Linked DNA regions of Sus scrofa. The protein of the gene in region 1 purifies or fractionates together with the protein of each later gene. This does not show direct contact. Links are inferred from orthologs where the notes say so. Each region holds a gene or a part of one and is shown in the gene's direction. Other genes may lie near its edges.

Region 1 (7,196 bases):
CATAAAACTTAAAAACATTTTGAAGGCGTTCCCGTCATGGCTCAGCGGAAATGAATCTCACACCCCTGAGGACGGTGTTGCCCTGAGCTGTGATGTTGCTGCAGACGTGCCTCAGATCTGGCTGTGGCTGTGGCTGTGGCGTAGGCCTGTGGCTACAGCTCCGATTCGACTCCTAGTCTGGGAACTTCCATATGCTGCGGGTGCAGCCCTGAAAAGACAATAAAAATTTTTTTTAAAGTGGATTTAATGATAGCAGGGCTAGATTATACACGTAGCTCAGGATGCCTTAGGGCACGGGCGCAAATAATCCTTCCATTTGCAACCACGTGGATGAACCCTGAGGGACCATGAGGGGATTATGCTAAATGAAATGAGAAGGAGAAAATACTTGTACATGGAACCTTAAAAAGTCAACCCACAAAAGCAGAGAGTAGACTGGAGGTTGCCAGGGGCTGGGGGCGGGGGACTGGGGGCTGGGGCTGGGGGGGGAATGGGGGTTGGGGGCTGGGGTTTGAGGGTGGGAGGGAATGGGGGTTAGGGGTGGGGGCCTGGTGGCGGGGACCTGGGGGCTGGGGGAACTGGGGGCGGGGGGTGGGGGACTGGGAACTGGGGGCTGGGGAGGGGCTGGGGACCATGCCGGCGGAATGGGGAAGTAGATGTTGGTCAGAGGGTACAGCTTCCAGTTATGAAATAAGTAAGTTCTGAGGATCTAGGAGCATAATGAGTGCAGTTAACAGCTCTGCAGAATATCCTGGAAATTTTCTCAGAGGGTAAAAATTAAGTTTCTCACCTTGAAAACCCCAGAGATAATTATACGAGGTGACAGATGTGCTAATTGGCTTGAGTGCAGTAATTACTTCACAAATCACCTTAAATATGCTTTTTGTCAATTAACCACCGCAAACACGGGGGGAATGAGAGTCTCTTCTGCCTGGACGGGTGGTGGGCTCAGATGCCTTTTTACTGCCACCTCCTTCTTACGCTTTGTGCTGGGCACGTGAGGGCATTGTTTCCTTATTTCTTCCAAAGAACTTTATCGCTAAAAAGAGAGAGGCCTCCCAGGGGCTGAGCAGGAAGGAAGCAGTTGTGTTTTGAGGGATAAGAGTGCATATTACAAACACAAACTGCCTCTCATTCATTCATTCCCTCTTGCATTTATTCATCCTTTAAACACACCCGGAAGCACTTATTATTGGGCTCTGTATTATTGCATGTTTTTAAATATTTACTCATTTAATTCCCATAACAGCCTGATGAAGTAGGGCTACCTGTTATTTCCATTTTATAGGCGGGAACACCAAAGCCCAGAGGGGTTAAGTAACTTGTGTAAAGTCACACCGTTGTGGCTCGAACACAAACTGAGGCATTTTTGCCGCAAACCCTCCTTCCTTACATGAAAATGTGCGGCTGGGGGTTTGACTCGAGCTCCTACCAGCTGCAGGACCACAGACCTCACGGGAGTTACCACATCAAAAAAATATGACCTGTGGTTTGTGGTTTATCTGATAGTCAAGGTTACCAGGGAGTTCTATGTTTTTATTTGCTACCTTTGCCAACCCTGGTGAGACTAGAACAGACAATGCTGCTAACTCAGCCAAAAGGTGGGGAAAAAAAAAAAAAAAAAAGAGTCTTCGTTTGAGAGAAAAAGGGCAGTTGTTGAATCTAGAGAAGAATTCTTTCCGATAGACGGGAAAACGGGGAGAGGGCACCTCCCAGGAAAACAGTGGAACTTATAGATCGTACGGTTTGATAGGCGTGTAAAATTACATGGAGAGTCGATCGACTATTGTGGAAAGAACAAGATACGGATTCCAGGAACGCTGTGCAGAGGGAAATAGAACATACCGTGACTGATCTTAGGGAAAACAAATACGAAAAAATACATAGGGAGGTTGTAAGGCTCAGGTGTGGATAATATTTGCACAGTCTTAATAATGTGATTATAAAACAATGATGTCACCCAAAGGCATAGAACAGGGAGAAATCCAGGATTCCCACAACTTGAGGTCCTTTTTGTTTTGTTTTGTTTTCATTCTTTTAGGGCTGAACCCGAAGCATATGGAGGTTCCCAGGCTAGGAGTGGAATCAAAGCTGTAGCTGGCGGTCTACACCACAGCCACAGCAACGCGGAATCCAAGCCACATCTGTGAGCTACACCACAGCTCACGGCAATGCCAGATCCTTAACCCACTGAATGAGGCCAGGGATCAAACCTGTGTCCTCGTGGATGCTAGTTGGGTTTGTTAACCACTGAGCCATGATGGGAATGCCTGAGGTCTCAAGATATAATGCGGGAGACCCCATCTGGATCTAATATACTGCATGGGGATTATAGCTAATAGTACTGTCATCTATCCTGGAAAGTTGCTATGGGACCACCTCTTAAATTTTCTCCCTCCCTGAAAAGAAATGGCAACGACTCATGGGGATGGAGCTGTTAGCTAGGACTACCCGTGGTCACCGTCTGGTAACTTACAAATGTATCAAATCGACACTGTCCGCCTCCTTTTTTTTTTTTTTTTTTCCTTTTAAGCCTAGAAACCCAGGTTATTTTATTTTTAATATTTTCTAGAAGAGGAAATTCTGTATTTTATAAACTTTAAAGCTTGCACGGATACATTAAAAAAATGTTAAATTACATTGCTGTGGTTGTGGTGCAGGTTGGCGGCTACAGCTCCGATTGGACTCCTAGCCTGGGAACCTCCATGTGCTGCTCTAAAAAGGAAAAAAAAAAAAAGCAAACCTAAAATTGACCGTTAATGACATTCAATCCACTCACGGTGCTGTGCAAACACCACCCCTGACCAGTTCCCAGACTTTCTAACTACTCCAAAAGGAAATCCCGAGCTCCCTGCAATCACGCTTCACTCGCCGCTCTGCGCAGTCCCCATCAGCCAACTCATCCAGGTCTTTGGCTGGATTTATCTCTTCCGAACATTTCAGATACGTGGACGCATAATGATCGTGGCCTTTTATGGGTGGTGTCATTCACTTCGGCTATGCCGGGGGCGAGGCGGGCCACGCGACCAAAGAAAGCGAATGCGGGCAGGTTTCCTACAGCGCGGCCCAGCGCGCAGGAAGCGTGGGCTCCCCCCGCCCGGCCCTGGTAACGGACTCTTTCCTTCTCTCCTCAGGGCTGTGTCTGGGGCAGGTGACACACGCTCAGACAGGTGAGTCCAGATCCCTCTTGTGGGTTCAGCCAGCGGGAGGGAGCCGGAGCGCCCAGGAGGGGGCGCCCTTTGGCCGCTGCCCTCTAGGAGGCTCCGCTTCCCTTCCAGGCGCCCTGCCCAAGCCCTCCCTCCAGGCCCTGCCCAGCTCCCTGGTGCCCCTGGGTAAGTTGGTGACGGTCCGCTGCCAGGGGCCACCAGACGTGGACTTGTACCGCCTGGAGGAACTGCGGTCCGGAAAGTACTTTGACCAGGCGGTCCTCTCCATCCCGGTCATGGAACAAAGATTCGCCGGCCGCTACCGCTGCTCCTACCAGAACGGGACCCTCTGGTCTCCAGCCAGCAACACGCTGGAGCTGGTCGCTACCGGTAACAGGGGGGTGGGGAGGGTGTGGCTGGACGTGTAGCCACAGGCTCCAAGTGGGCGGCAGGGGAGGGGGTGATGAGGGCTGGAAATCGAAAGCCCCCCTACCCCCGGAGTTCCCGTCGTGGCGCAGTGGTTAACGAATCCGACTAGGAACCATGAGGCTGCAGGTTCGATCCCTGGCCTTGTTCAGTGGGTTAAGGATCCAGCGTTGCTGTGAGCTGTGGTGTAGGTCGCAGACGCGGCTCGGATCCCGCGTTGCTGTGACTCTGGTGTAGACCGGTGGCTGCAGTTCCGATTGGACCCCTAGCCTGGGAACTCCATATGCCAGGGGAGCGGCCCTAGAAAAGGCAAAAAGACAAATAATAATAATAATAAAGCCCCCCCCGGGGGGGCCTGGGATGAGGGTGTGGCAAGTGAGGCTTTGGTCTTGAATGCTAAATTTAGGAGAAGTGCCAAAAACTTCAGGAATCTCCATAAGTAATGTTAATGATATACCTTGGGGAAAAAAAGCCCAAATCAATGCAAAAACATGAAAGACATAGAGGATATCACAGTTTTAAGGAAGATCAGTCCCATTGCCTCTGTCCACCAGTGCCCCATAGAAACTCCGCGACAGAATTTTGGGTGAAGGAGGAAAAAAAAAATATTGCTTTGCCAGGCAGAGGAGGCGGCGGCAGGCAAATGCCTTAAAGACGGTGTCCTCCACTGGAAGAAGGGTAGGGAGTTTCGTAGTAAAAAGCAGATAAGACAGGTTTTTGCATAGGAATCGGAATTGGGGCAGACATGCGTGCTTCTTTCTTTAGGGGAAGCCTAGTCATCGAAGCTGGCCTCAGGGGATCTCAGCGTGGTGGTCTTGTCTAGAATAACAGTACCTGTGAAGGGGGGGGTCTTGATCAGAAATTAGAACAAACTAGGAAAGTTCCTGAAAAACATCAGGTACTAATAATCTTTAACCCACAGGCAATTGAGCTCAGGGTGCCGAGTCTGTAGCTCACAGGTGAAGCAGTTAAGCCAGGGAGAAGCACAAGGAAGGGCTGCAAGCTTTACATTTTTAAAGTATTCATTTCTCAAAGAAGCATAAGGAATGTAACTCTTCTTTCTAGGTGCATAACATGCCTACGTTGTTCTGTGCATCCCTTGGGAGAGAACCAGGACCTTGTCCCAGGGCGGTACCATTCTTCCTTGACTGTGCCTCCAGGGCGTTTGCGTCCCCTCCCTTCCCCAATCATCAACTGTCTGAACCTGTCGCTCGGAACCCAGGGAAGGCCAGGGAGGCTGAATGAGGCCCATTTCCTAAAAACTAGAAATGGGGGACATGGAAAGGCTTTTGTGCCCAGGACTCCCCTCCCCCTGCCCCCAGCCCTGCTCAGTGACAGTACCATCCGAGCCATATCCGAGGCTGATGCAAGGAAAAAATGTGTACCCCTCTATCCATGTTCTATTTTTTCATGGAATAAAATGTTCTCAGCTTATCCTTTTATTTCTAAAGCATTTTACCTTTTTTTTTTTTTGGCTGCACCTATGGCACATGGACGGTCCCCAGCCAAGGATCGAACCCATCACCACAGCAGTGACCTGAACCACAGTAGTGACGACGTGGGATCTTTAACCCTCTGAGTCACCTAACTCCGCTAACGCATTACGAAATTTTTTTCCAAAGTAGATTTTAAAATATTGATGAGTTTTTGCTTCCGTGATAATAAATTCTGGTTTTTTTTTTTTTTTTTTTTGTATAAACTTAAAATACTGTAAGTTTTAGTAACTTACAGTAAAAAAATCTTTTTAGGGCAGCACCTGTGGCATATGGAGCTTCCCAGGCTAGGGGTCGAATCAGAGCTGTAGCCGCCGGCCTACACCACAGCCACAGCAATGCCAGATCCAAGCCTTGTCTGCAACCTACACCACAGCTCATAGCAACGTAGGATCCTTACCCACTCAGCGGGGCCGGGGATTGAACCTGCGTCCTCATGGATACTAGTCCGGTCCTAACCCGCCGAGCCCCAAGAGGAGCTCCTCAGACGCTGTGACTACCGAGTGCCAGGTGTGGATTGCGAGGATAGTGACATCAAATGACCTACATGGCAGGGTCAGTTCGTGTTTTAGACCTCGCCATGGCTCCCCGGGGCACAGCTGGATTCTGTCTTTGTTTAAAGCCTGGATATTCTATTCCCTGTACATGTGTCTGCCTCCCAGGAGAGTGCCTAACTCACTTTACCCTCATTCCAGGCCCTGAGGTCCTGGCACCAGTGGTTTTTGGGGACTGACTCAAGGCTATCGTCTCATTAAGTATCTCCCTCCCCATCCTATTTAAAATCTACCCCGATTTAAAACGGCACTCATCGTTTGCCACCTATTTACTTATTTATTTGCCTCTGGCTAGTCTTTCTTCCCAGTGGGCTTCCTTCTTAGAAAACAGAGACGAACACAAAATAGTTGCTCAGAGCAAACACCAATATTGAATGAATTATCAGGCACCTTTTGCTGCTGTGAGTAGGGGATTCCAGGCGTGGTCGGCCATGCTCTAGGATGATAAAAATATCAAATTACACGGCAGGGTAGGCTCACATTTGGACAGCCTGGAGCCCACCTCTGTGATTGCACATTTCAGCTCTGCCACTTCCTGTCTTGTGATCTTGGACCAAGTGATTGAGCAATGTGCATCTTAGGTTTTTGTTGTTTTTTTTTTTTTGAGATGTTTATTTTACAATGCTTTTTATTTTTTTTCCATTGCATCTTAGTTTTACGTACAAAGTATGGACACTCTTAGGTCTTTGTGAGGACTCAGTGAATGGATATATGTCACGGGCTGGAACAGCACCTGGAATCTGGTACTTTTTTTTTTTTTCATTTTTTAAAGTTTTATCGAAGTATAGTTGATTTTCAAGATTGGTAGTTTCTTCTGTGCAACAGAGTGATTCAGTTATACATATAGACACATCCATTCTCTTTCAGAGTCTTTCCCCCCATAGATGATCACAGAATATTGGGTAGAGTTCCCTGGTGCTAGGTAGCCGGTCCCTGTGGCATCTGGACTTTAATACAAGTTTCCGATAAGTTTACAGTATAAGCTTAAGCTATTTTGTCACCACCATCATATTTTGGGTGGTCGTTGTGCATTACGTATTCTATTAAATGCTTATTAGTACATATTGCCTCAGGCAATCATTTTATTTATTTATTTATTTATTTACTTTTTAGGATGTCGCCTGCTGCATACAGAGTTTCCCAGGCTAGGGGTTGAATCAGAGCTGTAGCTGCCTGACCTATGCCAACAGCTACAGCAACGCCAGATCCGAGCCTTGTCTGCAACCTACACCACAGCTCATGGCAATGCTGGATCCTTAACCCACTGAGTGAGGCCAGTGGGATCGAACCCACGTCCTCATGGATACTGGTCAGATTCTTTACTGCTGAGCCACAATGGAAACTCTCCCGTTTTAATTTTTTTTAACTAAACATTTTTTAGGAGTTCCTGTCGTGGCGCAGTGGTAAACGAATCCAACTGGGAACCATGAGGTTGCAGGTTCGATCCCTGGCCTTGCTCAGTGGGTTAAGGATCAGGCGTTGCCATGAGCTGTGGTGTAGGTTGCAGATGTGGCTTGGATCCTGAGGTGTTGTAGCTCTGGTGTAGACCGGTGGCTAACAGCTCCGATTCGACCCCT
Region 2 (7,196 bases), on another chromosome or scaffold:
TCCTGCTGTTAAATGAGGATGAGGTGTTGCTAACCAGTATTTGTCCCAGGGTGGAAAAGCCACTCACCTCCTTTTCTGGATGTGTTGGCGGATGTCTCCTTGTGATAGAGGGTTTCTCAGCTGTCTGTCTCATTAGACTATCTAGCTGAGCTTATGTCATGAGCATCCCAGGGGTATATTTGCCTGTCAGACCCTCAGGTATTACTGTGATTAACCCAGAGTCTCTGCATGTAAAATGTGCCTTCATTTAGTGTTCATAAAAAAAAAAAAAAAAAAGACATTGCCACACACATCGTCAACAGCACTCTTAAGTCAAACTCATCGTAAGAAACTTTAGGATTCTTAGGCCGAGGCTTCCCTTTCTGGGGAGAACAGGTCAGCTTCCTCTTTTCTGGTGAAAGCCCTGTGACACAGGCTGCCCTCCGACCCTTCCTGCCAGGAAGCCACTTGGGCAAATCTACTACCCATCAGGTTCCACTTTTCTTTCTCTGCTTTTCCCTGCCCTTAGTTTTCTGTTTCCAGCTTCTTAATTAATGTTATTATTATTATTATTATTTTTGTAAAAAGCATTTTGAATCCTTCTGAGAAAGAAGCAGGCTATAAAAACAATCTCTGTAGCATCATTAATTAAAAAAAAAAAAAAACAACAACCTACAAGTTTCAAAATAGCCATTCTTTGGCCAAAGGGGAAAAAATGCGCAGGCTTTAGGCCAAAGCTGTGTGAGTCCACCCTTCACTAGTGCTGTGACTTTGAGCCAGTTCACCTCATGCCTCAGTTTACACCTCTGTAATGTGGGGTTAATAATACCTGGGTCTTGGAGTTCCTTTGAGGATTAAATGAGATGCTCAGAAAATTACAGATGCTTAATTGAAAAATACTAAGGTGTGAGTCATGGTAAAGCACAGCTCCTATCAGTCGAAATCGTCGAAATCATGTAACTGTTCTGTTTTTTTTGGGGTGCATTGTGTTTTGTGCTTTTCTGATACCTTTGCACAGCTAAAGAATTGAGGACCTGGTGTGAGCTGGTGGTGTTTATCCCATGCTACAAGGGGAGTGCTCTTTGAGCTTTTTTGCTGAAGTGTTTGCACACAGTGCCCCAAATTCAAAGCTCAGTGCCAGGGCAGAGAGAGGCCACTAACTCCATGGGGAGCCCTGTCCTGCTGCTTTCCTCTAGAGGAAAACAGGACATACACCTGGTTTTCAGTTATCCATGGTGATGGGGGACGGGAAATGATGAAATAGGCATAAAAAAATGATCATCTGCAGATTTTACCATCCCTCCCACATCCACCTGCTTTTCATTTTCATTCTCTGTCTTCCTTCCCATGGCTGCTGCCCCTGAACCATCTCCATCACCCTTCACAGGTCTGGCTCAATGACTCCCCTCCATATAACACCTGCCAAGTGCTCTTCTAACCTCATCTGCTGCCTTCACACACGCATGTGTGCATGCACTACATGGGTTCCTAATATTTGGGGAAAAACTGTTTTTGCATAAATTGTTCATACTATCTTCTTATTTTCTCCCCTTCCAACTTTTTATTTTGAAAATTTCAAATGTATAGGAAAAAGAAAGACTATCCTTACCCAGATGCACTAATTTCTTACTGTTTTGCCACATTCGTCTCTACTCTCCATCTCCCCCTCCCTTTTCCTTTTGGGTGGAGGTGTTGAAAGTTGCACACTCCCAGAGCCCCCATCCCTAATCCGCCTCGCCTGCATCTCCTCAAATGTGGACATTCTCCCGCATGACCGCGGTGCCTTCATCACGCCTATAACACACACAAGGTCCAGGATCCTGTCTACACATATTCGGATTCCCCCAGTGATCCAGCCACGTCCTCCTCCCACCCACGCCCATTCATTCAGGGCAGCAGCCGAGCGCACAGTCCTTGCATTCTTGTCGTGAGCACTCCCAGAGCATCTGCTCTCTGTCGGCACTGGTGGAGGTGCTGGGAACATTACAGGGAAGAAGCAGGCTTGGGGCTGGCCCTTCCGCTATGGTCCACCTGGGGAGCTGACCTTAAATAAACCCACACGTAACGGAATGTCGGTCCTAATAAGAAACACGAGAGTGAAGCGTGAAAAGTGGGCAGAGGGGAGCTTGGTGAAGATCTGTCTGGGGAGGTAACATTTGTGTCCAGATCTGAAAAAAGACAGAGCTGGAAAGGGATAGAGAGCGCGCGCGAGGGCCCGGGAAAAAAAGGGGCTGTCCCAAGCCGGTGCGCGTGCGTCTGGCCCGGGGAGCGCGCAGACCTGACCCGCGTGCGTCGTGGGCGGGGGAGCGCGCAGGCCGGGCGCGCGCGTGCGTCCTGAGGACCCTCGGGGCTCCTCCCCTGGGAGCTCAGGGTGCCTTCCAGGGTCCGTACCGGATGGTTTTTGCGCCACCTCGTTCTCTTGGTTCTGCAGCACCGTTTCAATGGCGATGATTTAAACCCAGCTTTCCTGAGGGGTGGAGATGGGTGGGACTGGCCAGAAAAGAACACCCCTGTTTATTTACAGATCAGCTAGAAAACCCACCTCCATTACAGAAACTTTAGCACATGAAAAAAAAAAAAAAAAAAAGTGCTGTTTTGAGTCAAAGAACTACTTGCTTCCCCTTTATTTTGGGAACTACAGCTCGCTAGTTTCAGAAAGAGGTGTGACTGTCCTTAGAGGCTCCCTACGTCAACCCAGGAAAAGATAAACAAGGCGCAGATCGAAGTCCTCCTGGAAGCCTGGGGAACTAAACGGGACTAGGGGCAGGATGAGCTGGGAAAACAGTGCAGAGGGTGACAGACAAGTGGTCCTGAGGTTTCCTAGAACAGTTCCTCCTCCAGGAGGTGTGGCGAATTCCCACCACTCGCCTTCCCTGTGTGAAACCATCTCTCTGAAGTTCTAGGCCAGGGTCCCCACTGGCAGTGCTTCAGAATGACACCCATCAGCGGGGGAGCACCTCCCACCCCACCCCCGGAGGGATGCCTGGTGCGGGAGAACTTCCTGGCCCGTGTCCCAGGACTCTGTTCCATGAGCCCAGGGCATTCTGGTGTTCTTTCAGGTTTGGGAACGGGCCCTCTAGGACCCTCTGATGGAGCTCCTAATAGATTTTGTTTCTTTTTAAATGTATACATTTGACCCCAAGGCTGTAGTGTGAGGCCAGAGTCCTGTGCTATTTCAGTGCTGTGACCCCCTCTTTAGTCTCCAGAGTGCTTTGGGGGGTGTTCTATGCATCCCAGTCCTAACGGAGTGAACAAAGAAGAGTTATCATTTGGAAGCGTGATTACGTCCTTGCTGGCTGAGCACTAGCCATCTTCTGAGGCTGGCTCTCCCCTGAAGCCTCAGTCACAGGCATGGCCGTCTGATGGCACCTGTTTGTGCCCCCCAGCTCCACCATCTCTCCTGGTGTCCTCACTCACAAGTCTTACTGGGAAGACTACTGGCTGTGATTGTTTGGGGGTTCCTGTAAACATCTTTTCTCCCACATCCTAGTCCCCTCTTTTATTTTCAGTCTAGGTGAAGGCCACCTCTGTTCCCCAGGCCCCAAGCCACATTGGGCTGGCGCCTGGCTCTGTGCCTTCTGGCTCTTAATCATGCTCGCCCTTGAAGCCCCAGGCCTCTCACTTCACCTTGCAAGGTGGCCTTGGCTTTCAGCTGTGCCTCCTCTCCAGCCCTCCTCCTGGACTTCCTTACTTGTTCCCTGAAGGGATCGGCTTAAACTAATTCCCTGAAGGGGCCGTGTGAGCTCAGGGCCAATACTTTGCACATGAAGTTCCTTCTTCCCAGAATCTCGTTGCTGCCTTTGCCACCCAGCTGACATCACCCGCATTTTGAATCACAGAGCATTTCCTTCCAGATGCTTCCCTGACATCCTTTTCCTCTTGCCTCGGTTCCACGTCCTTTCCTCTGTCCTGTGCATCCTCTCATCATTGACTTGCCACATTGTAGTGTAATTTTCATTCACACGTCTTCGCCACAAGATTAGGAGTGTCTTTAGAGCAGGAATTATGTCTTGCAGACATAGAATTGATTCTCCATAGTTGTCGAATGAATGAATGCGTGCATGCATGAACAAGCAGCTGATTTGTGAACAGCATCCCCTTTTGAGTTTGTGAAACCATCTGTGATGAAAAAATCAAAGTATGTTCTTTTTGCTCTTCGTTAATGGAGGGATTTTGGTGGCTTGGAGCCAGTTCTAGAATGGTAAAACAATGCCGTTACTTTTCTGTTCCAACAGGAACTATGGGATGTATAAAATCAAAAAGGAAAGACAATCTGAATGACGATGGAGTAGATTTGAAGACTCAACCAGTACGTAATACTGACCGCACTATTTATGTGAGAGATCCAACGTCCAATAAACAGCAAAGGCCAGTAAGTAGATAGTCTCAGGGGAGCCTTCCCACAGCAGGATCAAAGCATGGCTGCATAATTTAAACATCAGATCTGTACCATGTTCATGCAAAAAAAAAAAAAAAAAAAAATCCTGTCAGTTACTTGGGCCTCAAATAATTTTTTTTTTCTTTTGCCACTGCGCTCACGGCATATGGAACTTCCCAGGCCAGGGATTGAATCTGAGCCACTGCAGAGAAAATATCAGATCCTTAACCCACTGCACCGCAGCGGGAACTCCCTCAACTATTTTTTTATATACTTTGTAACTTACTCCTTTAAAGAGTTTATAAATATTTCCAGGAAAACCAGGCCACTTATTGTACAATAAAGGGGCCTTTGGTCGCCTTCTTATGTGTGGGGGTAATCACCTTTCATTATCACTGGTGTGAAAACACGCCCTTCATGTATAAAAATATGTCTCTGAGCTTGCGTGATTTCAGATTGGTAGTGGGATTAGTGCAGTGGTCTGGAAGCAGAGGAAATGCTGGATTCAAGTCTGAAGCCAAAATAGGTGCTAATATGTCCTTTGGCATATCACACTTTACCCCATCTTGTCATTCTTAGGTTAATTCAAAAGAGTACGAACACTGAAGTTGTCATGACTTATTACAGAGAATTAAAAGATTTTATTAAAAACCACAATCAATTTTGTCCTCTAACTTTGGACAGATATCTGTACCAACATTTTTATACAAGTGATGTACTATTTGATGCATTTGAGAAATGCTTGGCAAAGGAAGAACTAATATCTCATATGGAAAAGAGGAACAGAGCTTTGGATAATTATAACCCTCAATGCATTTTATTTCAGATCTTGTATCCTTTCCATCTATTCGTCCACTATATATATGTACATCTCCCTTTGCCTGGTTTTTATGGAATTTCTCAGCATTTAAGCTGGAAGCAGGTTATTTCAGGTTAGCCCAAATGCCTTCATTAAGAGATTTTAGGGTTCCCTGGTGGCTCAACGGGTTAAGCATCCAGCGTTGTCACTGCTTTGGCTCTGGTTACTGCTGTGGTGCAGGTTTGATCCCTGGCCCAGGAACTTCTGCATGCCTCGGGCTCAACCCCCCACCCCCCAAAAAAAGAAAAAAGAAAAAGCAGTGGAGCTGAAGAGTGAATTTATATTATGCTATTAATTATCATATATGATATTTCCAGGTACATAAGTTAACTTTGTAATTTTATATATAGACACTCAAATTGTATAAGATTATTAATAACTTTAACAATTAAGTAATTGTAAGTACATATAAAAGTAATATTTTAAAACACATCACATGAATAGGTATAGGCATGGAGCTATACATGTAAATATGACTAATAGAAAATGAACTAGTACAAGGAATTGGAGTCACAAATAGTTTTCTTATTATACACTTCAAAGATCTCATAAAAAGGATCTGGCTTTTTCTGGTATCATGTGCTGTATAGATGTTACATGCTTTAAAAGGTTTTTTTTTTTTTTTTTTAAAGAGATTAAAGAATATGTCCTTTATTCAGAAAAGCAAAGGGAAACCGTATGAACTCATGCACCATTTTTCCTATTATTAAGAGGAAAGGAAGTTAAGGGTTTTCTTGTGGCACAACTGGCGACAGATTCGATGCTGTCACTGTTGTGGTGCAGGTTCAATCCCTGGTCCGGGAACTTCCATATGCTGCATGTATGGCCAAAAGAAAAGAGTAACAATTACAAAGTTAAAAATTAAGTTAGAAAGCAGAAGTGGTAAACGTGCTTGAAGTCTCTCAGTTCCCACATGTACGGGAGCATTTACTTGTGCCTCTGGTTACGGAGGCCCTTGGTCATGGACCTTCTTCCACGGCCGTAGATAACACTCGGCTCCCCCAGCTGTGCGCACTGCCCCCTGGATTTGTCACAGGAGGCCTAATGTGACGGCGAGGCTGAGTTGCTGCCAGTTCAACAAGATCCTAAGGAAAAGACATCTTACAAAGAGAGCATGATGATAGAAGTATTCCATACGAGTATTTTTGTCTTCTGCAAAGTGTGTTGAAACATTTGTGAACGAAAGACACTTTGATGTGTGAGAATCAGCTTGCTGCTTTCCGAATAACTACATTCGTTTCTCATCTTCTGATGCTTTCCTCTAACTCATCTAAAATTGGTCAGAATTCCTAATTTTGCAAATCTAAATGAATTCAAAATCAGTATAAAACGTCTTAAAATAAGTATTTAAGGATAATATGGACCCAAGATTTTCTGATACCAGGGAGATAGTCTCCAGGTCCCCACCCCAACCATCCGATTGGCTGACTTTGCTAAGACATTTAAATTTCAGTACTAACTGTTTTGTTCCCAATTCCATGAGATCACTTTAATCAAAGGGCAACATGCTTTGTGGGTATAAGCCATGACAATACCTTCTTTAACCGAGGCCCAAGAGGAGTTCCTGTCGTGGCTCAGTGGTTAACGAATCTGACTGGGAACCATGAGGTTGCAGGTTCGATCCCTGACCTTGCTCAGTGGGTTAAGGATCTGGCGTTGCCGTGAGCTGTGGTGTAGGTCGAAGACGCGGTTCGGATCCCGCATTCCTGTGGCTCTGGCATAGGCTGGCAGCTACAGCTCCGATTAGACCCCTAGCCTGGGAACCTCCATATGCCGTGGGAAGCAGCCCTAGAAAAGGCAAAAAGCCAAAAAAAAAAAAAAAAAAAAAAAAAAAAGAGGCCCAAGAGGCCTTTCACCTATGGTCACTGAGGGAAAAGGAATTCGATTTAAAATGTAATTGAGGTGGCCTTTTGTGCCCCCAGACCCTGCCTGATAATTGGCTTCCCAATGAGCCTCTGTCCCCATGACACAATGCGGGGC

The links.
Region 2: the proteins of GP6 (region 1) and LYN purify together in Homo sapiens (affinity purification with western blotting; 5 studies listed by BioGRID and IntAct, with this or other methods). This does not show direct contact. The link is inferred for Sus scrofa from reciprocal best matches to the Homo sapiens genes GP6 and LYN.

What each region holds. Positions count from the first base shown.
Region 1 is NC_010448.4:59,229,777-59,236,972, reverse strand, and holds part of GP6 (platelet glycoprotein VI), read left to right. Parts: intron 1-3,134; coding exon 3,135-3,170; intron 3,171-3,278; coding exon 3,279-3,536; intron 3,537-7,196.
Region 2 is NC_010446.5:75,847,407-75,854,602, reverse strand, and holds part of LYN (tyrosine-protein kinase Lyn), read left to right. Parts: intron 1-4,214; coding exon 4,215-4,351; intron 4,352-7,196. UniProt on the Homo sapiens protein: Non-receptor tyrosine-protein kinase that transmits signals from cell surface receptors and plays an important role in the regulation of innate and adaptive immune responses, hematopoiesis, responses to growth factors and cytokines, integrin signaling, but also responses to DNA damage and genotoxic agents.